3 linked regions of the Canis lupus familiaris genome follow. The main gene of each other region encodes a partner of the protein of the gene in region 2 in a complex. Links are inferred from orthologs where the notes say so. Each region holds a gene or a part of one and is shown on either strand. Other genes may lie near its edges.

Region 1 (7,348 bases), on a different chromosome or scaffold from region 2:
TGTGCTAGGTCCAGTGGATGAACACAAGGATGAATCAGACACAACCTCAAAGAACTTATAGTCAGTGGGGGAGACAGATACAATTAACTAGAGCACAAAGCAAGATGACCTAAATGGTTTTAAAGAATATGCTATATACATAAACCTTAATTGCCTAATTATTATTCTAAAGAGTGTATCATAGAAAGTCAGAGCTCAAAGGTATTATCTGATTTAACCCTTGTTTTCCAGTGAAGGAGTCTGAAACCCAGATAAGAGTGAGGCCTGGGTAGTTTCAGTAGCCAGTCTGGCTGAGCCAAGACTAGACTTCAGGTCCTCTGAAGCACAGCGCAGGGCTCTTTCTTCCTCCTCTGGTATCTTCACATGTAGCAGGCCCATATCCCACCAGACTATGAAATCCTCGAGGCCAAGTCAGGTTCTCCCACCTAAGCAAGCTGAACTGAGGCCATGCATGCCCAAGACCAAGAGCTTTGGAAATTCAGTCTGACTCCATGCTGCCAATCCAGCATTTTGGTCTACTGTGTATAATGTGCACCCTACTCTTACTCTCCTACTCTACTCTTAGTCTTGTGCAGAGTAAAATCCCAAAGTTGATTTTTAAATTTTTTTTGCAAGAAACTTTTTAAAAATAAGCTCTTGGGGCACCTACGTGGCTCAGTCTGTTGAGCCTCTAACTCTTGGCTGGAGCTGTGATCTCAGGTGATGAGATCAGCCTGTGTAGGGGGCTCTATGCTCAGCACAGAGTCTGCTTAGGATTGTCTCTTCCTCTCCCTTTGTTCCTCCCCCTCGTGCACTCTCTCTCTCAAACAAATAAATAAGTCTTAAAAACAAAAAAAAAAAAGTTCTTTATCCAGAATAGCAGTATATAAATCAGATAAAAGCAAAATCACTCTGGTTGAAGGGAAGGGAGGCCAGAGCCCCACTATTTTCCTCCCTTCAAATCCTGGGAGGGGAACTCTAGGAACTCAGCTCAAAAACCTTTGTTCTGAGACATAATTTTTAATGGCTTCTAGAAGCTGCTTTAGTATGTACTCCTCCACTGAACCCTGTCTTTTATGGAAACGCACAATGCTTTCTTCATCATCAAACGCCAAGCACCAGCCAGCCAGGTGTTCCTAGTAGGGTATAGAGGGGCATCAGATTTTCCTTTTGTCTTTCCTGCTCTCCTCTTCTCCACAGAGAGGAGTTTGTCCCAAGTGCTATGGGGAGGGAGGACAGAGACCCAAACTCCACGTAGGAGGATCAGGACAAGCTTACCCAGAAAGCTCATAGAGAATGAATTCACCTACTCAGTCATCTACCAGCTTGACTCTGACAGAGGCTCTATTTTGTTGTCCTATACCATACCCTCTAGCCATGTGTACTGTTGAGCACTTGAAATATGTCTAGTCAAAATTCAGATGTAGTGTGAGTATAAAACACATAGCAGATTTCAAAGCCTTAGTACAAAAAAAGAATGTAAAATACCCTATTCATTTGTATAGTGAATAATTTTATAGTGGTTACATGTTGAATGATCCCATTTTAGATATAGTGGGCTAAGTAAAACATATCATTAAAATTAATTTTACCTGTTTCTTTTTACTTTTTAAAAAATGTCATCAATAGAATATTTTAAGTTACATGTGTAGCTTACATTATTTTCATTAGACAGCACCGGGAGAGACTATCAACCGCATGGCAGAGGTGGGGTGGGTGTATCTGTGTTGTGGGAGGAAGGGTGATGGCAACCACGCAGGGAGTGGTCCTTTGGGGCCGAATTGTGAAAGTCTGAGTGGATTTCGCCTGGCAATCAATACAGGAAAGAAGGCACGGCAGAGGGAATAGAAGGGGCAAAGACCCAAAGATGTGGGCAGACATGTTGTGTTTAGGAAACTTATTCTTTTTTATTTTTTTTAATAATTTTATTTACTTATTTATTTATTTATTTATGATAGTCACACAGAGAGAGAGAGAGAGAGAGGCAGAGACACAGGCAGAGGGAGAAGCAGGCTCCATGCACCGGGAGCCCGACGTGGGACTTGATCCCAGGTCTCCAGGATCGCACCCTGGGCCAAAGGCAGGCGCCAAACCGCTGCGCCACCCAGGGATCCCGGAAACTTATTCTTATAGCATGATTTTTTTTTTTTTTTTAAAGCATTCGTTGAATGTTTACTTTGAGCCGGGCACCAATAGCAGGCCTTTTACATCCATTCTCATGTTATCTCCCCTCTACAGGACGAAGGAGAGGTTATTCTATTTTACCAAAGATAGAACTGAGGCTCAGAAGGTTACGCTATTTATTCTTCCTTTTTATCTGGAAAGCCTCTTGGAGACAGGGAGCCTGTCCTAAACGCCGCACGGAGCTGCAGCTGTCCACGTGGTAGGCGCTCAGAAAGTTTGGGTTGAACGGAGGAAGGCTATCCGCCCCTTCTGGAGCCGTCAGAGCTCCTGAGCAACACCTGGGTGCAGAAGCAGCAGAGGGCGCCCGCGAGCCCGTCCACCCAGCTGTCCCCGGGGCGCCGGCAGGATCTTGGGCCTGGGTGCCGCCCTGCAGCCCTAAGCGGTGGCGCGCCCGGCGGCGAGGAGAGAGAGGGCGAGGGCGAGGGCGAGGGCGAGGGCGAGGGCGAGGGCGAGGGGAGCCCTACGTCCTCCGCCCGCCCCGCCCCGCCCCGCCCCCTCCCCTCCCCAGAGCCCAGCGCACGGAGCAGCCGGTTGCGGAACGACGACACGACATCCTGTTTTTGGGGCCCGCGGCTCGGTCGGCGCCTCTGCTGATCTTGTCTTTCCCCGGGTGCTGACGCCAGCTCCCCTGCCCCCAGTCTCCGCACCCTCCCCAGGGGTCTGGGGCCTTCCCACTGCTGAATCACCACCACTGCGCGCTCCGCTGGGGCTCGGGGCAGGGGTGGGGACTGTCCCAGCCGGACCCACTCCGGCCAACCCGCAGGCTGGGCCAGCGCTCCCTCCCTGGGCTTGACCGAGGCGCCCACCCTGGGGCGCCGGTTCTCAGCATCTTCCCGCGGGGAGTGGGTGGGGCAAGATACGGGGAGGGGGACAAAAGCTTGGGGCCCCGGCTACGGCCTCGACTGGGGTGGGGTGGCACGGAGGAGACGGGCAGGACTGACCTTAGGAGACCTGACTTAGGGCCCTCCGAGGCAGAGGGCCGGGGTTAGGGAGCCCAGGGCCCGACCCCGGACCGCGCCGGGCAGGTGTTGGGGGGGAGACCCCGGCCGGGGGGCCCGGGCCTCGCGCACTTCCCGGTCCGGCCCGCCCCGCCCCGCGCCCCGCCCCGCGCCCCGCCCCGCCCCGGCCGGCCCGCCCCCCCCACTTCCTCCGGCCTCCCGCTCTCACTTCCTTCTCGAGCCCGGAGCCGCTGCCGCCGCCCCCAGCTCCCCCGCGGCGGGGAGGGCACCAGGTGAGGCCCGGCGCGGGCCGGCGGGCCGGGGGGCCGGGGGGCCGGGGGAGGGGGCGGGGGAGGGGGCGGGGGAGCGCGGCCGGCAGGGACTGCGCGCGGGCGCGGGCGCGGGCGCGGCGCGGGCCGGGGAAGTTCGCTTGCGGGAGGCGCGGGCGGGAGCTTCTCGGCTCTCCGCAAGCTGGGCGGGCGCGGCCGGGCGGGCGGGCGGGCGGGCGGGGAGCCGGCCCCTGCGAGCCGGCGGCGGTACCGTGACGGTGGGTTTCTGTCCCCGGGGAGGCGGCACCGCGGAGGTGGGAGAGTCCCCGGCTCCGAGAGAAAAGTCTCCGAAGTGGAAGAGCTCGGAGCTGGGCGATGGGATTCAGGGCTGGGGTGACCTCAGAAGGGGAGGGGGGTGTCCCAAATTGCGTGAAGGAAGGGGGCCCCCTGGGCTGCAGAGAAAGTGCTCCCCTCCGCTCGGCAGTTGTGACACTTGCAAGGTTGGAGGTTGGAGGGGGGCGGTGTCTGGGGCCCTCGAAGCCCTGGACTGCGGAGAATAGAGCTCCCTCCCTGCAAGTGCCAATCCGGACCCGCATTCGCAGGCTGCAGTCCAAGGTCCTGTGCACTCAGGGGAGGGCAGGGAGGGGGGAGCCCCGCCAGTCGCAGTCTCGCTCTCTATGCCTGTTTTTCTGACGCCCAACCTCTCCATCCCTGGAATGAAGCAACAGGTATTTAGTTGGCAAACATCTCTGTGCCTGGCTGACCAGGGCCTGGCCTCGCTCTTTGGGGGGTAAACTGAGGAAGAAGAGGGCCTGGTCTTGTGACTAGCGGTGGAAGGACTCTCATTCAGAGGTGCTGATAGGCCCTGACAAGGTGGCATCGCTGAGATGGGGGCTATTTTGAGGGGATGAGAGAACAGACCTTCTGGGTGGCAGTGCCAGCTCTGGCCTTGGGAAATAATTGGGAGCATCTCCTATTCCCTCCACCCAATCGTTAGTCCCTAAATTCTATATTCTCATTTCTCTTCCTCCATTCCTTCTTCAGACCCTATCTGCAAACACTCCATCACCCTCTTCTTGCATCCTCTGTAGTCTTTCACCTAAACACACTGTCATGCCCAGGTCCTGTCCTGTCACCTGCCCTGCCCCTCTGTCCACCTCTGTTCCCTGCAGCCTCCCCACCTCCCTTCCTTGCCCCCCTACTGGTTCCCAAACACATATCCACCCTCTTGCTTCTTCCACCTTTCCTCACTTCTCTTAATCTCCCTGTCTCCTTCCCTTTCAGCCACTTATCTCTGGCTTTGGGGTCCAGAACTTTGGTGGGTTTGAGAGCCTTTTCAGATCTCCCGACCTCAGAGAGACAGGCTACAACCTCCCAGTGATAAAGATGATTAAAGGGCTGGAAAACTTTTCTCTATGTGTATTTGCCTGGGATTGTCAATGTGTCTATGTCTTTATCTCTTGGAGACAAAATAACTGCCCTCAGCCTTGAGAGGGCCCAGGGCAGGGGAAACCAGCAGAATGAAGGGAACCTGCAGTGGGTGAGGTTGTGGTTAGGCAGGAGGAAGCAGTCTGTAGCAGTAAGGGTAGAGTGACACAGGAATAAGACTGGTGAGCGAGGCCGTGGGAAATCAAATCACCCAAACCCTTGGGTGCTTAACCAAGAGGCCAGGTATAGAGGCTGGGAGAGAGCCTGAAGGCCCCTGATTCCAGTGCTTGCTTGTTCCTACACCACCTGTTAGGGAAAATGGGATGAGGTCAGCTAGGTGTGGTGGAAGGAAAGGGAGAGGACAAAGGCAGGATTCTGGAGGGAAGACTAGATAGCTGGTCTAACTTAAGTCTTTACTGTTTTAGTTAAGGAGAAGGAAGTAAGGCAGAAGTGTCTGCCCCGTCTTCCCTCCTTCCTTCTGGGGCCTGCCCAGCCTGGGAACTCACGTGCCCTGGCTGCATTAGGGTCTCCATGACAAGTCCTCTGCCGACCCCTCTGCCTTCAGGCATTGTTAATTTTCCCCCTCTCATCCAGGACCCTACTCCCTGTGTTTCAGGAGTTCCTCTCAAGTTTAACTTCAGTCCAGCTTGGCTCTACGCGCTCTTGTCCCCATTCTAAAGCTCCTTCCTCAAGTCTTTGGGAAGCATGCTGAGAGATCCTGCCTCTCCACCTCAAGTCTACTGTATTCATTTCTCCCCATTAGAAAAAAAGAGAAGTGGAGGGGAACTTTTTTGGGATTCCCAAGCACAACTAGATTTAAGAGCTAACCCGGTTCCTCATTCTAGCCTTTCCCCCTTCTTCCGTGAATTGTCCCTTCTTCCACCGTATCTCCTACTGTCACTCTGGGAGGTACAGGTGGTTCCACTCCAGGAGGAAATCCCAGGAACCTGCAAAAAATTCCAGCTCAGAGAAGGATGTGCATGCAAGGCACTTTTTCAGCATCGTGGCTCATTAAAAAACCATCCAGGAGTTCTGACTCCCCACCTGCTAAACCAGTCCTTATTTGGGGAAGAAATGGCTAATGTGAGATTGTCACAGATCCTGGTTGGGAATCTAGGATATGGAGAGTTGTTTCTGGCCAAATGTTAGGTCAGATGAAGTGGCCGAGGTGAGCTTTTAGGAGGTTATAGCAGGAAGATATGAGAAGTTGTAGCTATAATGAGACAGTTGGGAAGATATTAGAATGGGGGTAGCTGGGCAGCTGGGAAGAAGGTGGGGGCCTGGGCCCAGAATGAAGACCTCTCCCTCCATACACAGTGTAGACCCATTAGTAGTGAGGCTTGTAGGGGGTCTGTGAGGAGGGAAACCAAAGACAAAGCCTGGGCCGCCTCCCCAGAACAGATTGGTTTTCCTGTCTAGGGTCTAGCTTCCTCTTTTGTCCTCCTGTCATGGGCGGAGGACATCTTCTGCCCAGGAGCTAGAGCTTATAGAGGGAGCTTCTCAATTGGGGCAGGCTAGGGTGGCTGTCTGTCCACTAGTATCAGTTCTAGATCATGGACAGCCTCATGTTGGCTAGACATGAGAGCCAGGGAACTTGGAAGCAGAATGGGTTTGGGCATCAACCTAATCCCTTTGGCCCATTTCCTGAAGGAATAAAACCATTGTAGGGTCATCCTAAGTGAGGCCAGAAACATGGGCCCATTCCCAGGCCAGAGTAACAGTTCTCAACTTTTCTTTGTGGAAGTGACATCAGGCTGGAGGTTAAGAGACCCAGGTCCTTGCCCTGGATTTGCTCCCAAATCTGTATAACCCTGGTCAACTTTGTCTCTTGTGGCTCAGCTCCAACAATAGGAGTTGCCTGTTAATACCTCTAATGAGCATAGAGAATACTGAGAATTCTAAGTCTCTTTCCCCTAAGGGGCTCCTTGTAGCAGTACCCCCCCCCCACACACACACACTCTGGGCCCTCCTGTCTCATGCCAGCCTTGATCTGACAGGCCTCAGTAGTCTCTATCTATTCAGCAATGGGACCTGTGGCTCCTTTCCCCCAAAGCACAAGGATTCCTACGGGTTGAAAGAAGAGAATTTGGCAGAATGTCGGGGATTATGCCAGGGGGCAGCAATATGGGGGGAGTACCCTCTGCCCTGTTCCAGCTCTGCCCCACTGACAGTGGAAAATCGATGCCGGAGTTTCCTCCCTGATGTGTTTTTCCCTTGTGGAAACCCCCTCAGAGCTGGGGCGGGGCTGAAGGGACAGGGCGGCCCTGGGTCTCTCTGTGGGTATTTTCAGGTGGGGGAGGCAGGATTGGGAGGATGGCATTTCTGTACAGCATCGTGTGAAATGAGCAAAGGCAAAGGAAGTGCCACCTCACAGGCCTTTCATGGGGCCCCGGGACTGCTGAGCTGCTGTGAAGCCTGTGAAGCGGGGAGGAGGAAGCAAGTGTTGGAGCCTTCCTCTGTGCCGCCTGGTGGGGGAGGGGCAACCTCCTCAGCTCCCCCACCCAGAGCCGCCCTGGCCCTGGGGCTCACCCTTTGAGGAGCACCCCAGGT
Region 2 (7,030 bases):
GGTGGCAGCTGAAAACGTTCCAGAAAAGGCAGCTGAAAGCATTTTGTTAGAAATAACAGATCCACTGGATGAGCACGAACACTCTGATGCATATTATATTCAAATATACCGGTGGTTAGAGAACATTGGTCAATTTCCTTGAACAGAGGTGATTAAAATAACTTCGTGAAGGCCCCATTCTATAATGCAAATACTTCAGCTCCTAATGGTCCACACGGAGGAATCACTGAGGAAGTATGATGAAATAAGTCCTAAAGAAATCACAAAGGAAAACTTCAATACAGTACAATTTGGATATATTCACCAGGTGCTCAAGTCCCCAACCTTAGAGTCATCCTTGACCCATCTTGTCAATCACACCCAGGGGCAAGATCCAAGGTCTCTGGCTCCTGAACCATATACAGTAAAGATCTTAAGATCTTAAGATATACAGTAAAGATCTTAAGAAAAAAACACACGCACGCACATTTTTTCCTTTGCAAACTTTCTGAAAATGTAAGCTAATGAAAGTGTCCACAGTAAATTCCCCTCTGTGCACACTGCACTCCTGTTGGTTCTACCTTCAGTATATATCAAGAATCCAACTTCTTTCCCTTCTCTCCCCTACCATCCTGGACCCACTACTTCCATTTCTTGCTTGAACTACTGAAATTTTACTATGTCTTCCCTTGGGCCTTTACAGTGTGTTCATCCCACAGGCAAGCAAATTAGATTGTGTCCTAGGTTGGCTCAAAACTCCCCAACCTTGTGTACTGTTGTAATGTATAAGCCCTTACTATGCCTTTCAGGATCCTTCTCTATCTGGCCACCCTGTGCCACTGGGACCAGGTTTGTTCTTTACTCACTTCTCACCAGCTAGGATTCCTTGTTGTTTTGGGAACCTGCTAAATATGCCTCCAGGCCTCTGCATCTGTTGTTCTTAATGTCTAGAATATTTCTCCCTAGAATCCTTACTTCCTTCTGGTCTATACTTCAATATCACCTTTGCAGAGTACTCTGTATAAAACAATGGCATCCCAAACATCCTATCCTCCCTGTTTTGTAGTTTTCTCTACACGATTAGCCTTTCTTTGTTTGGCATATCTTTATTTGTTTTGTTTTATTCTCCTCTTCCAGACTGTAGGCTCTGTGAAGGTAGGGATTTTACGGTGTTCACTGTTGTGCCCCATTCTAAGAACAATGCTTGACACCTAATACGCACATAATTAACAGCTGTGGAAAAAAAGAAGAGATTATCTAGCCTGGGAAATTAGGTTAATCATGAAGTCATTGGCAGAGGAAGAGAAATTATTTTTCAGGGAAATGGTGGAATGCCTTCATGCCTTCTGGATGTTGTCTCAAGTGATAGATTTTTAAATTATCATCACACTCTGTGTATAAATACCTATTTGTTGATGGAGAAGAAAGTAAGCCCTAGGAGTTACCCACCTAGAACAGGACCCCTTCCCCGCCCCCCCCCCCCCTTTTTTAAAATTTCAGATCTGGTTTTGCAAAAGTTACCAAAGTTACAATGCACTAATTCTTCCTTCCAAGATTCACTCTTTTACTACGTGTTTATTTTACCTTTCTTTCATGTTCCAAATAGGCAAGGCAAATTTCCCAGACTGCAAGGACAAAACGGTTTCTTTTGAGAGGTATTTTCTGGAATCGTGAACATAAATCGGCTGGTCATTTACTCTGAGATTTTATTTCTATGGGTAAGGTAGCAAAGCATCCCTCCCCTCCACCGGGCAGCACAGGCGTCTCTAATCCCATCTTCAGTCCTGAGGTCTCTCCAGGAGCAAGTGAGATCCTGGAGGGCGTTCGGAGGGCTCCAACAGCAGTCTTCTGCAGTTCAGAAGAGCAGGCTTTGCTTTTGGCTGCTGGTCAAAACCATACAGTGAAGGAGAGATGACTCGGATGTGTCCTGTCCCCCTCTCCGCAGGGATGCTCTTTAGGCTGCTGGTCTTTTGGAAAAGGCGGTTGGGGGGGGTGTGTGTCTTGGGGCGAACTTCTCCCTTGATCATAGGGGCCCTCAATCTCTTCACTTGGGGAGGAGTCCCGGTGTTTGGGGTGGGGGTGGGGTGGGGGTACAGGATTTCCAAGTTAAGGCTCTCTAAACTCTAAAGAATTTCCCCAACGGAGCTCCCCGAGGAGACGGACCTTTCTGGGGTGCACATCGCCCCCCCCCCCCCCCGCACCAGGTCTCTATTTACCCGAAGACGAATGCGCCTGCTTTGAAAGCTCTAAACGTTATATGGTCTCATTCATTTGGGGGAATCTAAAAATCAGTGAAAGGGAATACAGGGGAAAGGAGAGAAAATGAGTTGAAAATATCAGTGAGGGTGACAAAACAGGAGAGACTCCTAAGTCTGGGAAACGAACAAGGGGTCGTGGAAGGGGAGGTGGGTGGAGGGATGGGGGTGACCGGGTGACGGGCACTGAGGGGGGCACTTGATGGGATGAGCACTGGGTGTTATGCTGTATGTTGGCAAACTGAACTCCAATTAAAAAAATTTTTTTTTAAAGAGAAGGAAAGCATTAAAGGGTGGCCCCGGGAGAGCCTGTGGGCCCTGGAGTCCTTCCGGCTCTCTCTCTCTCTCTCTCTCTCTCTCTCTCTCTCTCTCTCTCTCTCTCGGTCAGTGAAAGCTGCAGGGGGTGAGCGCAGCGTCAGCTGCTCATTCATTCAACAAATATTTACTGAGCGCCTGCTGAGTGCCAGGCACTGGGGGGCCCGGGGCGAGGAGCGACCTGGGACTTGATCCTGGGCCCCCCGGGGGCGCGGTGGGCGCGCCTCTGCTCCCCCGGGGTGCGCCGCCACCTCCAGGGACGCCCCGGGCTCCAGCCTGGAGGGTCTCACGGGGGACGAAGGGAAGGCGGCGGAGGGCGCAACAGTAAAACGAAAAAGCCGGAGCCGGTGGGCCCCGGGGCGCCGCTCCCGGGGAGCGCGCGAGGCGGGGCGGGGGAGCGCGGAGCGCGGAGCCCCGGGCGCGGAGGCGGCCCCGGCGGGCGGAGGGCGCGGCCGGCGGGAGGGGCCGGGGCGGCGCCGGGAGGGCCCAGCAGGTGACCGGCGGCCCGGCAGAGCCCCAGCGAGTCCCGCGCGCGCGGGCGGCGAAGTTTGCCGGAACATGGCGGAGGAGCCCGGGGCGCGCGGGAGCGGGGCGCGGCGGCGGCCGGGGCCCCGGGAGCTGTAGCCGCCGCAGCCGCAGCCGCCGCCGCCGCGGGGCGAGGTCGCCGCCATGGCCCGCTGGATCCCGACCAAGAGGCAGAAGTACGGGGTCGGTGAGTGCTCGCCCGAAGTTCGCGGGAGCGGCCCTGCCCCGCGGCGGAGGCTCCCCCCGGGCCCCCCGCGCCCCCCGCCCCCAGGGCGCAGGCGGCGCTGCCCGGCCGGGACGTCGCCCCCGGGGTGGGGAGTCTCAGCGCCCCCCGAAACGGCACTGGGGCTCCGGGACCCGAAGCCCCGGCGCCGTGCACGGTGCAAACGTCAAAAGCGAGCGCTCGCCCGCGGGGGTGTGGGGCGCGGGCCCGGGGCTCCCCCTTCTCCGCCCCAGCCTTGCGGATCCGTGGAGTGGTTTGTCCGCTCGCGGACCCGGGGCTTCTGCGTGCCGTCTGCTGGGCTCCCCAAGTGAGGTCCCCAAGTGAGGTGTGCGGGGGAGGGGGTAGGACGGCGCCCCCTTCCTCCAGGGACTGGGATGCCGGTAACAGTTGTAAAGTGAATGGGACACTCAAGCCGTGGGGTGGGGGTGATGGAGACGGAGGAGACGGCGAGCGGGCTGGGGGCGCGGACGCGCGCGTCCCTAACCGAGCGTGCCTAAAGGCGCCTACGACCGCCCTGCGAGGCCGCAGTTCCGTCCTGGGGCAGATAACGTGAGGATTTTTTTTTTTTTTTTTTTAAGATTTTCTTTATTCATTCATGAGAGGCACAGAGAGAGGAGAGAGAGAGGCAGAGGGAGAAGCAGGCTCCATCCATGCAGGGAGCCCATGCGGGACTCGATCCCGGGACTCCAGGATCAGGCCCTGGCCCGAAGGCAGGCGCTAAACCCCCCGAGCCACCCAGGGATCCCCACAGGAGCATATTTTGTTAAGGAACCTGTGGCAGGTCCTGGCCAGGCACTGGGCTTTCCTAAAGGTGGTGCTCCAGAGCCCCCACCACCCGCGGAGGGGTGGCTGTTGTGTTGTTGGGGACCCGAAAGCCTGGCTGTGCCTGGTTTTGACCCAGGTGGAAAACCGCGGTCCTTGCACCTGGTGTGTGTGTGTGTGTGTGTGTGTGTGTGTGAGTGTGCGTGTGCGCGCGCGTGCTGAGGTCTCTTGGAAAGACTGCCCTGAGCCGGGCCATCCCTGGGGCAGGTGGACTTCCGAGCGGTTCCCTAGAATAAACACAGTTGTGTGTGTGGAGCATTTTATCACTTCCTCCCAGGTTCATTCATTCGGTCCATCTGTAATGTAATCTTTTATTTTACTCGCTTTCCCGGGCCCCATTTTTCCTTACCGCTTCAGTTAGTAGGGAGGGAGGGATCCCTGCAGCGCTTCTGTGCTTTCTGACACACTGAAGTCCTCTTGGGATACTCTTTAAACAACCTCCTCTAGGTGCTTTTCGACTCTGTAACCACAGAGTCCGTTAAAAACCCAACAACAAAACCCTTTCACATTTAAAATAGTATCTTAATTGTGACCCTTTCTGTGTATATGTAGCTGTATATGTGATATGTACTGTGTATATGTAATTCCTTGTTGCCCCCCTATTCCAAAAAACTTGTTTCCTCTTAAATTTCCTTTAGAATCCTTGCACTCTCTTGTGGCAGCAACTCAGAAATGAGTGTTTCTTCTGACCCACAGTATCTGGTCAGAATTTGGTCCTGAGGCTTCAGGCAGGTGCCAGTGAGTAGCCAGTAGTTATGGAAGGAAAATGGTCTGTGATAGATGGAATCGATTTATTTTTGAGCATTACAGAGTACTACTAAATTAAAGCATAATTAGCAATGCCTGCTCATTAGTTACTATTTACAAAGATAGCAGTTTTGATTTTGTTTCTAACAGGATCCAACACTATGACTTTCATGTAGTTAATGCCAAGCATACCCCTCAAATGTGGTTTTAATTACCATAGTCATAGGAGCAAGTGTGACATGTTTTCTTTTCAGTAATACTACCCCCCCCCCCCATTCTGGAATCAGGTTACCATGTTATTTATCAGCAGTCAAGAAAAGCATTTGAAATGCATTTCCAGGGCATAGGTGGTAGCAAAACTGCCCCAGGATATAATTTGGCACACTTATTTTACTAGACACAATAGATTTTGATTAATCTTGGCTTGACAAAAGGACCCACTGTTAGGACAGATTAGCTGAGGAGATAAATCACCATTGTTTATTCCTAAAACTCTCTGTTGTTCTCAGTGCCTCCCGCTTGGAAGCCTTCCTTGGCCTACCGGGGTAAAGTCTAAATTGAGCCCAACTTTCAAGGTTATGATAATCTGGTTCGACCTGTCTCCACCAACTTTATCTCTCCTGGCTTCTTTCATTAACTTACCAGGGCAGACACTGCCCTTCTCTGCTCTTGTGCAACATGCAATGAAGAGGTTCTCCCTTTGGGACTTTGCTCCCAGAGTGCCCTCCCAGTTCTGTATCATCTCCAATCCAGCCTATTCCTCGGGGGGCTCAGATGCATTTGCATTGCTTCCCCAGATTTGGTATGAACCGGACCTTCTTCCCAAACCCGTATGCCTCTCCTCACAATCACTACATTGTGCCACACTTTGTTACTTATCCTTTTATCCTTGGGTTCACTGAATCAGGTTATGGTTCTGTATCCCTGTCATGATACCAGGTAGAGAGCCTGTATTCAGTAACTGCTTGTCCTTGCTGTTGAGGTGACACTCTAAAGCCTTAACCTCATTTCCATGATGATTTAATGCAGTTCCTCTCCCCACCCCCCCACCCCCATTCACCACAGTATGAGTTTTATTTTGTTTGGTTAAATGTGCGTAGTGAGAGCCTTCGGTGTCTTTATTTCTTTGCAAGCAGAAAAATGAGATGTGCTGTTGAGAAAATAAGGAAGCATCGAGTAGACAGACTTCATTTAAATATAATTAGGAAAATTGGCTTGTTGGACTTTTTGGGGGATAGTTATCACTTACGAGTGTCTGCTGGTCAGATTGTGTTTCTGGGTGAAGGAAACCATGTGATAGTCATTTTGAAGCATTTCAATGACTCACAGCTACTCTGTGTGAGGGTAGTGCTTTGATCTCAATTTGAATTTTGCTAAGTGAAGCTAGCAGTCTCTTATATTATCTTGGTGCCACTATTGGCTGCTCCTGACAGAGCCTAGATTTTTCTATGGGGACTGAAATGCAATCTGACTGGGCTTTCTTAGTTCTTAAACATAGCTCTGTTGGCTCAATCTCTAGCATTTTGGAGGGCCTAAATGACCCATGTGTGTTATCTGTTATCAAGGGAAAGGACCAATAGATTTGCTTTTTTAAAGTTCTAGTCCATTAGTATCCTGGTGTGAAGTGTTACGTGCCAAATGCTTGGAAGCAAGTGCTCTTCCGTACAGCCATGGAAAACTGTCTTTTCTTCTTTCCATTTTCTTTATTTTCTTTTCCTTTATTCTTTTTTCCCCTTTCTTTCTTGAATTTTTTTTCTGTTCGAGGACATGAGGATATAATCACTTTTATTTAGATTTCAAACAAATGTCAGTGATATATATCCAGGTTACTTTTCTGATTATTGAAACATTTATGTTTTAAGTCTGCTCCCAAACAAGCTATTTATTATTAATAACGGTCCCAGATTATGTTGTTGGTTGATTTTTTGTTGTTGTTGCAAAAACAATTCATTATTGTTTGTGATCTGTATTGTTATAATGTGATAAAAGGTAGTGTGGGAGCATCTTTGCTTTCACCATTAGCTCTTCATCTGTTGGTTCTGCTAGGCCTCATTAATCTGAAAGCATTTAGCTTAGTAGAGGAGACTCAAATGCTGATGTAAAAAATTGAAAGCAGACTCCTGTAGCCCTTTGTTAATGCATTCAGGTGTGCTGTGGTTCCCAT
Region 3 (7,115 bases), on a different chromosome or scaffold from region 2:
TCTTCTGGGGGAGCAGAGCGGGATACAGGGGCTATCTCTGACCCCACCCCACTCACGGTAATGCCCTGCTTTCTAGGGGAGTATTGCCCTGGCTAAAGCAACACATGTTGTGAAAAGACTTTCTCCAGGGGCGCCTGGGGGGCTCAGTCTTACGTTAAGCATCTGCCTTTGGCTCAGGTCATGATCCCTGAGATCAAGTCCAGGAACTCCCTGCTCACTGGGGGAGTCTGCTTCTCCCTTTCCCTCTCCCCCTCCTCACTGCTCATATTCTCCCTCTCTCTCTCTCACTTATTCTCTCTCTAGTAAATAAATAAAATCTTTAAAGGAAAGCCTGGGTGGCTTAGTGGTTGAGCATCTGCCTTCAGCTCAGGGTGGGATCCCAAGGTCCCGGGATCGAATCCCACATCAGGCTCCTCGCAGGGAGCCTGCTTCTCCCCCTGTCTATGTCTCTGCCTCTCTGTGTCTCTCATGAATAAATAGATAAAAATCTTTAAAAACAATAATAAAAGAAAAGACTTTCTCCAAGGAGTGTGACCAAACAAACACCGGATCTGAAGTGGTTATGCATTATCAATAAATTGTACTGGTTTTCCACTCTCCCAAGGAACCATCTCTCTGTTTCTTTCTTTGGGCTGAAACTCTGAGTTGGCTCAAGATGGAAAGGGGTCTGCAAGAGGAGCCGCTGGGCATGGTGCAAAGGACAGAGGAAACAATCAAAGCCTGTTACCTGGATTCGCTTGCCACTGACACTGCAATATTTTCCCGGTATAATTCCCGTAACAGTCATCTCTTACTCAGTCCATCAGCAAGTATTTTTTGAGCACCTATTGTGCTGGCAATCGGTCTAGGTTCTGAATCTACACAGAAGAGACAAGGTCCCTGCGCTCATGGAACTTTCATTCTAATGGGAGGAACAGACATAATCAAATAAATAAATGAATATATAATGTGCCAGGGGGTGAAAAGTGCTCAGCAGGAAAACTGAGTAGCTTAAGAGGACCAGAGGGGGGGCTGGTTGCTATTTCACAGGAGATAATCAGGAAAGGCCGCCTGTGGGACACCTGGGTGATTCAGTCAATTAAGCATCTGCCTTCAGCACTAGTCATGATCCCAGGGTCCTAGGATAGAGCCCTTAATCAGGCTCCCTGCTCAGCAGGGAACCTGCTTCTCCTTCTGCCCCTTCTCCTGCTCATGCTTTTTCTCTGGTTCTCTGTCAAATAAATAACATCTTTAAATAAATAAATTAATTAATTAATAAGGAAAGGCTGCCTGTAAGCTGACAATTGGGCAGAGAGACCTGAAGTGAACAAGGGAGTGAGCTATCTGGAAATGCGGGGAAACATGCTTTGTGCAAAAGGAGTAACATATTCAAAGGCTCTGGGGAGAGAACTTGGTGAAGAAGAATGTAAGGTGGTCAGAATGGCTGCAGTTAAAAGCAGGAGAGACACCTGGGCAGCCCAGTCGGTTAAGTGGTTAAGTGGCTGACTTGGTTTTGGCTCAGGTCATGGTCTCAGGGTTGTGGGATGGATGGAGCCCCACCTCAGCAGGGAGTCTGCTTGAGATTCTCTCTCTCTCTCTCTCTTTTTCTAAAATAAATAAATATTTTATTTAAAAACAGCAGGAAGATGAGACATGGGGGAGGGGGGGTGGAGATAGGACCATTCATGGCACCACCCATCCCGTAGTCCAGTGCCTGCACCTGAATTCCACAAGACTCAGGCCTGGGCCTGCAACGGCCCCTTCCCTGATATCCACCAAGCTGCTCCCCCAGTTCCCTTCCCTCCTGACCCCATCCCCCTGCAGACTTTCAACACTCCTGGTCATTCCCTCACAGTTTCCCCATTAGACAACCAGTCCATCTAATTAAAAAAAAAAAAATCTGAGTAATAGATTCAGTAGGAAAAAAGGCAACATTTAACCACAGCCCTCCAGAGAGAGGAAATGTACCCTAGTCCGGAGCAGGGGTTCAGAAGGGCAACTGTAAAAAATAAAGTCCGCCACATGACAGCAGGGCATCCGGGCTTCGAGGTTCTGTAAACTGAGGGACAATAATCCTTGAAATAACCTTGGGAAGTAGGTATGGAGGGGAGACAGGAAAAACATGACCAGAAGAGGCCCTTACTAAGAGCTGCTGTCTGGCTTTTTTTTTTTTTTTCCTTAAGATTTTATTTATTTATTCATGAGAGACACACAGAGAGAGGCAGAGACACAGGCAGAGGGAGAAGCAAGCTCCCTGCAGGGAGCCTGATGCAGGACTCCATCCTGAGACTCCGGGGTCACTCCCTGAGCCAAAGGCAGGTGCTCAACTGCAGAGCCCCCCGGGCATCCCTTATAGAGATTTTCCTCTTATTTTTGTGTTACTGTTACCTTTCTTTAAAAAAAAAAAAAAAATTTTTTTTTTTTTTTAAATTGGAGTTCAATTTGCCAACATATAGCATGACACCCAGTGCTCATCCCGCCAAGTGCTGGGCACTGAGGGGGGTGGGGGGCACTTGGCGGGATGAGCTGCCGGCTTTTTGATCTAAAAGTGAACCTGAGTAGGGTTAGGTCCCTCCTGGGGTTCTTAAAGTTACCCCTCAGAGAGTCCATGCCTAAATACACATCATCAGTTACTTTTATTTCAGAAACAAAAGAAAGAAAAAAAAAAAAAAACCACGCCGGCAACACTCCTGAAGTCTTCCGGTGCCCCCCACCTCCCAGCCCCCCCAAGCCAGGACCTGCGGCCTCTGCCTCCCGGGGCGCGAAACCTAGTCTTGGCGCCTCTGGAAACCTTGGATGCAGCGGGCCGGGGCGCACCCTCCTGGGGCCGGGAGCCGGGAGCCGGGAGCTGTCCAGGGGCCCCGGCCGGGCCCCGCGCGCCCGCCCGCCGCACCGCCAGCGACCCCCGCCCGCCGCCGCCGACTTGAAGCGGCCCCGGGCGGGAGGCGGCACCGGGGGCCACTCGGCGGGCAGCCCGCGCCCCGCGCCCCGAGCCCCCCGCGCCCCGAGCCCCCCGCGCCCCGCCTGCGCCCGCGGGCTCCCACGCTCCCCGCCCTCGCGCGCGCCCGCGACCCGCTCGGGCTCCCCGGCCCCGGCCCCCCGCGCGCCCCGGGCCGCCGCCGTGCGCGTCTCCCTCCCTCGGAGCCACCCGCCACCTGGCCGCCCCCCGCGGCGGGGACCCGGGCCGCGCCCCGCTGCCGCCACCGTGCAGGGCCGCCCGCTGCGCCCCCTCCCGAGCCGCGACCGCCCTTCGGGGCCCCCTCCCCGCCGTCCTCGCGGTCCCAGCGGCGTCCCCAGGCGCGTCCCCAGGCGGCGGGGACCCGCCGTCTCCCCCGAGGGTCCCGGGCGCCCCAAGCGCGCCCCCTGCCCGTCCCCATCGCTGTCCCCTCCCCGGGGCGCGCTCGCCGAGGGCTTCCCTCCCACCCGCGGGTGCGGGAGCAGAAGCCGGGGTCCGAGCCGCCGGCCCCCCTCCCCGGCGCCCCTCCCGGCGCCCCTGCCCGGCTCGGGCTCCCGCTCCCGCTCCCTCTCCCGCTCCCGCAGCGGCCGCCGGGCGCTGCCCAGACTTCCCCGAGTGCGGAGCGCCCCGAGCGCACGCAGCCGCCCCCGGCTCCAGCCGCGGCGCCCCGGGGGAGCGGGGGCGCGGGCAAAAGTGTCTCCGCGGCGCCCGGGGCGCCCCCCGGCCCCGGGGCAGGGCGCCCCCTCGCGAGCCCCCCGCCGAGCCCCGGCCCCCGCCCCGGCCGCGCCGAGGTCAGCGAGTCGGGGCGCGGCGCCAGCGCAGGAAACTTTACGAACCTGCCCGGGGGTCGCAGGACGGCGGCGGCGGCGGCGGCGCCCCGCGGCCGCGGAGGGGGCCCGAGGCTGGGTCCGGCGGCTCGGGGCCGCGGCGGGGGGGGGGGGGGGGGCGGCTCTGCCTCTACCCCGTGCCCATCCCCGGCCGCGCACACGCACTCACCCTGGGGCCCCGCCGGCCGCCGCGCCGCCGGCCGCCGCTGCTCTCACTTCCTCTTCCTCCCTCCTGCTGGCCGGAGACACATTGTGCATCTGCAGGCATCCCGCGGGCGGCCGCCGAGTCCCCTCCCGGGCGGGCGGCCCTGCCGAGGGGCCGCCGCCGCCCCCGGCACCTGCGCGGGACTCGCGGGGTTGGCGCTGTCCCCGCCCGCGCGCCCCGGGAGCTGCCGCCGCCTCGGCCCTGCGGGGCGGGGGGCTGCGGCGGGGACGGGGTGCGGGGCCGCCCACCACTTTCCGAAGTCCCCCTACTTAAAAATAAGGAAAATGTCAAGCACCGTGCACGCCTCAGATCGGCTATAAATAATATGTGTGCAGAGCATGACTTCTCGGATGAGCTCACACGCGGCGCTTTGCAGGCACTAATTAACTCCGTCACCGTCATAGCGCCACCTCCGGGAGGCCGAGGGCGCGTGGCGTCTTTTTATATGCTTTCATTTTTGGCAGCTGGCATGCAATTTCGAGGGGGTGGGGGGGGAGACTTAGGCGGGTTGTTTTAAAGCGACTTTAAAAGGCGTTTGGGCTTACCCCGGAGCGGCCTGGCGAGGGTAACCCAACCTCTGCTGCTCTCTGTTGGAGCCCCCGAGGCATGTGCGCCCTGCAGTTCTCATCAGTGACCCCAAGGACTCCCTAACTTGGCATGACTTTTCACGAAGCGAGACGTTCTACCCTCCCCAGCTCGGTATTGGGGGTGCACTGTCTAATGCGACCCACTCCAGTGATTTTTCAAAGCAAAGAATCAAAAAATACTAACTCCCAGCCTAGCTGCCAAGGAGGCAAGTGACAGTGGTTGGAAGGTTGCAGGAGAAACACCTGTCCTTAACAAATTCAAAAAGAAAAAAATAGCTATCTACCCGAAAAGACAAAGGCGGTTACTAATGCATTCCCTTCAAACTGGCCAAGTTGGTAACCCGGGAGCAGGGAGGCATTGGCCTCTAAGGTGGAGGGTAAAACTCCTGCTTAAATTGCAGTCCCACCCCCTCCCCTGTGCTGGCAGCCAAGAGCCCCAAGCAACTATTGAACACTCCAAATGTGGCTCGCCCTGAGATGTTCTGGAAGTGGAAAACAGACACCGGACTTTGTATGAAAAACAGAATGTAAAATAGCTTGTTAGAAACTTTTATGCTGATTATAGCATTTCAACAAATGCTAATAGTGTAAGATGTGATCAGTCCACTGGGTTATTTTATTAGGTTAAAAAATACATATATATAATATATATATGTAAAATGTATATACAAATAAAATATATATAGTGTAAATATATACAACATATATATAATTTAGAATATTTTCACTATTTTCTTTTTACATTCTTAAATGTTTTTAAGATTTTAGTTCTTGGGCAACCCAGGTGGCTCAGTGGTTTAGCACCACCTTCAGCCCAGGGCCTGATCTTGGAGACCCGGGATCGAGTCCCAGGTCAGGCTCCCTGCATGGAGCCTGCTTCTCCCTCTGCCTGTGTCTCTGCCTCCCTCTCTCTCTCTCTCTCTCTCTGTATTCTCATGAATACATAAATAAAATCTTAAAAAAAAAAGATTTTAGTTCTTTAAGAAGTTAGGTTCTTTAAGTAATCTCTACACCAAACATGAGGCTCAAACTCACGACCCGGAGATCAAGAGTCCCACGCTCCACCGACTGAGCCAGCCAGGCTTTTTACATTTTTAATGTGGCAAATAGAAAAAGTAAGATTACACAGATGGCTCTCGTTAGTGGCTCACATTCTATTTCTAATGAGCAGCCCTGATCTGACCTCTTACTATATGCATAACCTCTGGAGGCAATATTAGTACCGGGAAGATTTGGGTCCAGATCATTATAAGCCAATAACTTAAAACAGGATGATTCCAGAAAAGTAATTTATCTTCCCTATTTCCTCATCTGTAAAATGATAATGATATAATAACAGTAAACGGGCTAACTATCAAAATGAAGCAATTGAATAAGCAATCAGCAAATGGAGCCTTTATTAATGATGCCATGAGGCGCTTGTAATGATAACTAAGAATTTGATCCACAACTTTTTAGCTAAGGCATATCAAGATTTTAACTATAGCGCAGAGCATCACCGGCACTCACGAAATGTTAGCTGTCGTAATGTTCCAAGAGTAAATAGGGAACTCTGTCTCCCCTTGCACAGCAATTAGAAAAATCCACCTCCTTGTAACCTTTGGTCCCAGCTCTGCCCTCTGCAGTTAACATGGAGTACCTCACATCCTTCCTCTAAGAGATAACTTGATAGATCTTTAAAGACATTGAATTCTAGCTAAACATTCTCTCCTGAGGACTGACTTTTCTCGATTATTCTAACTCCTTTTTGAGTCCTGTGGTTTCAAATCTCTCTCATCTTAGCCATCTTTCCCTTGAAAGATGCCAGTTTCAGCTTTTAAAAAAAATAGTTGTCATATAAATTAACCATTAAAAACAATACAGCCTGAGGTCTTGTCAATTATTTTTCAAATGTGTCTCTATCCCACCACCGATCCAATGGCAAAGCACGACTGGAAATTCTTTGCTACGTTACTGTTAGGCCATGTCTCTGCTTTTGGGGTTGATATAGGAGACCAAAGTCCTCGGTCCACCTTCTGTAAATCTTTTCGGATTTGATGCAGGTGCCCAATGTCACCCCATATCCACAGATGAGGTAAGAACACTAGGGTTCTGGATGACACCCCACTAAGGGGCTCCCTCCATCACGATGAGGATCCGATTCTTTGGCTTCATTAGTTCCACTTTTTTCCTTTTTCCCCCCTCTTACTTATATTCCACAAATACTATATAGTGAGACCCTGTTCTTAATCTCCAATTTTATTCCTGTTAAGCATTGGGTCTAAGGGTCTATCTGAGGTTTCTTCTTTAGTCATCCAGATTCTAACTTGTCCATTAACTTTATCTATGGCCTACAGTATTAGGAGGTAAAATATCCCCTTCCTTCTATCTAGAACCTGTATTTCTAATTGCTATTACTAATAAGGTGCAGGATCAAGGAAAACCCTCTTAGGGAATAGTTCACACTCTGGATTTGTCTGTTTCTTATGATGTTATTTCACTTACCCCTTTATCCTTTGTACTTCTTCTGTAGGAGTTGAGCTTCAGGTTAATGTGGGTATTCCACACTGCATCATACTGGT

Evidence for each region. The genes of interacting proteins can lie anywhere in the genome.
Region 1: the proteins of DOCK5 (region 2) and RHOG are in contact, whole or in part, in a cryo-EM structure (PDB 8XM7), measured with the Homo sapiens proteins. The link is inferred for Canis lupus familiaris from reciprocal best matches to the Homo sapiens genes DOCK5 and RHOG. Residues at the interface, in NP_079216.4 of Homo sapiens: Val232, Phe345, Asn393, His394, Lys395, Gly396, Trp400; in NP_001656.2 of Homo sapiens: Ala121, Pro123, Leu126, Arg127, Arg128, Lys130.
Region 3: the proteins of DOCK5 (region 2) and ELMO1 are in contact, whole or in part, in a cryo-EM structure (PDB 8JHK), measured with the Homo sapiens proteins. The link is inferred for Canis lupus familiaris from reciprocal best matches to the Homo sapiens genes DOCK5 and ELMO1. Residues at the interface, in NP_079216.4 of Homo sapiens: Met1, Ala2, Arg3, Trp4, Val14, Ala15, Ile16, Tyr17, Asn18, Ser22, Gln23, Gln30, Ile31, Gly32, Asp33, Thr34, Glu39, Tyr41, Gly43, Trp44, Arg46, Tyr48, Lys56, Ile58, Pro60, Glu61, Thr62, Tyr63, His65, Leu66; in NP_001193409.1 of Homo sapiens: Ile7, Val8, Lys9, Ala11, Tyr18, Pro19, Leu21, Glu23, Glu36, Asp39, Gly40, Ser42, Asn71, Gly72, Gln392, Asp393, Leu400, Glu401, Lys468, Arg531, Glu535, Leu536, Lys539, Leu547, Gln550, Gln551, Asn554, Arg555, Asn582, Thr688.

The regions. Positions count from the first base shown.
Region 1 is NC_049242.1:26,499,458-26,506,805, reverse strand, and holds the start of RHOG (rho-related GTP-binding protein RhoG), read left to right. Parts: upstream 1-3,291; 5' UTR 3,292-3,394; intron 3,395-7,348.
Region 2 is NC_049246.1:32,423,812-32,430,841, reverse strand, and holds the start of DOCK5 (dedicator of cytokinesis protein 5), read left to right. Parts: upstream 1-3,173; 5' UTR 3,174-3,218; coding exon 3,219-3,261; intron 3,262-7,030. UniProt on the Homo sapiens protein: Guanine nucleotide exchange factor (GEF) for Rho and Rac. GEF proteins activate small GTPases by exchanging bound GDP for free GTP. Along with DOCK1, mediates CRK/CRKL regulation of epithelial and endothelial cell spreading and migration on type IV collagen.
Region 3 is NC_049235.1:48,788,833-48,795,947, forward strand, and holds the start of ELMO1 (engulfment and cell motility protein 1), read right to left. Parts: upstream 4,058-7,115; 5' UTR 4,021-4,057; coding exon 3,932-4,020; intron 1-3,931. UniProt on the Homo sapiens protein: Involved in cytoskeletal rearrangements required for phagocytosis of apoptotic cells and cell motility. Acts in association with DOCK1 and CRK. Was initially proposed to be required in complex with DOCK1 to activate Rac Rho small GTPases.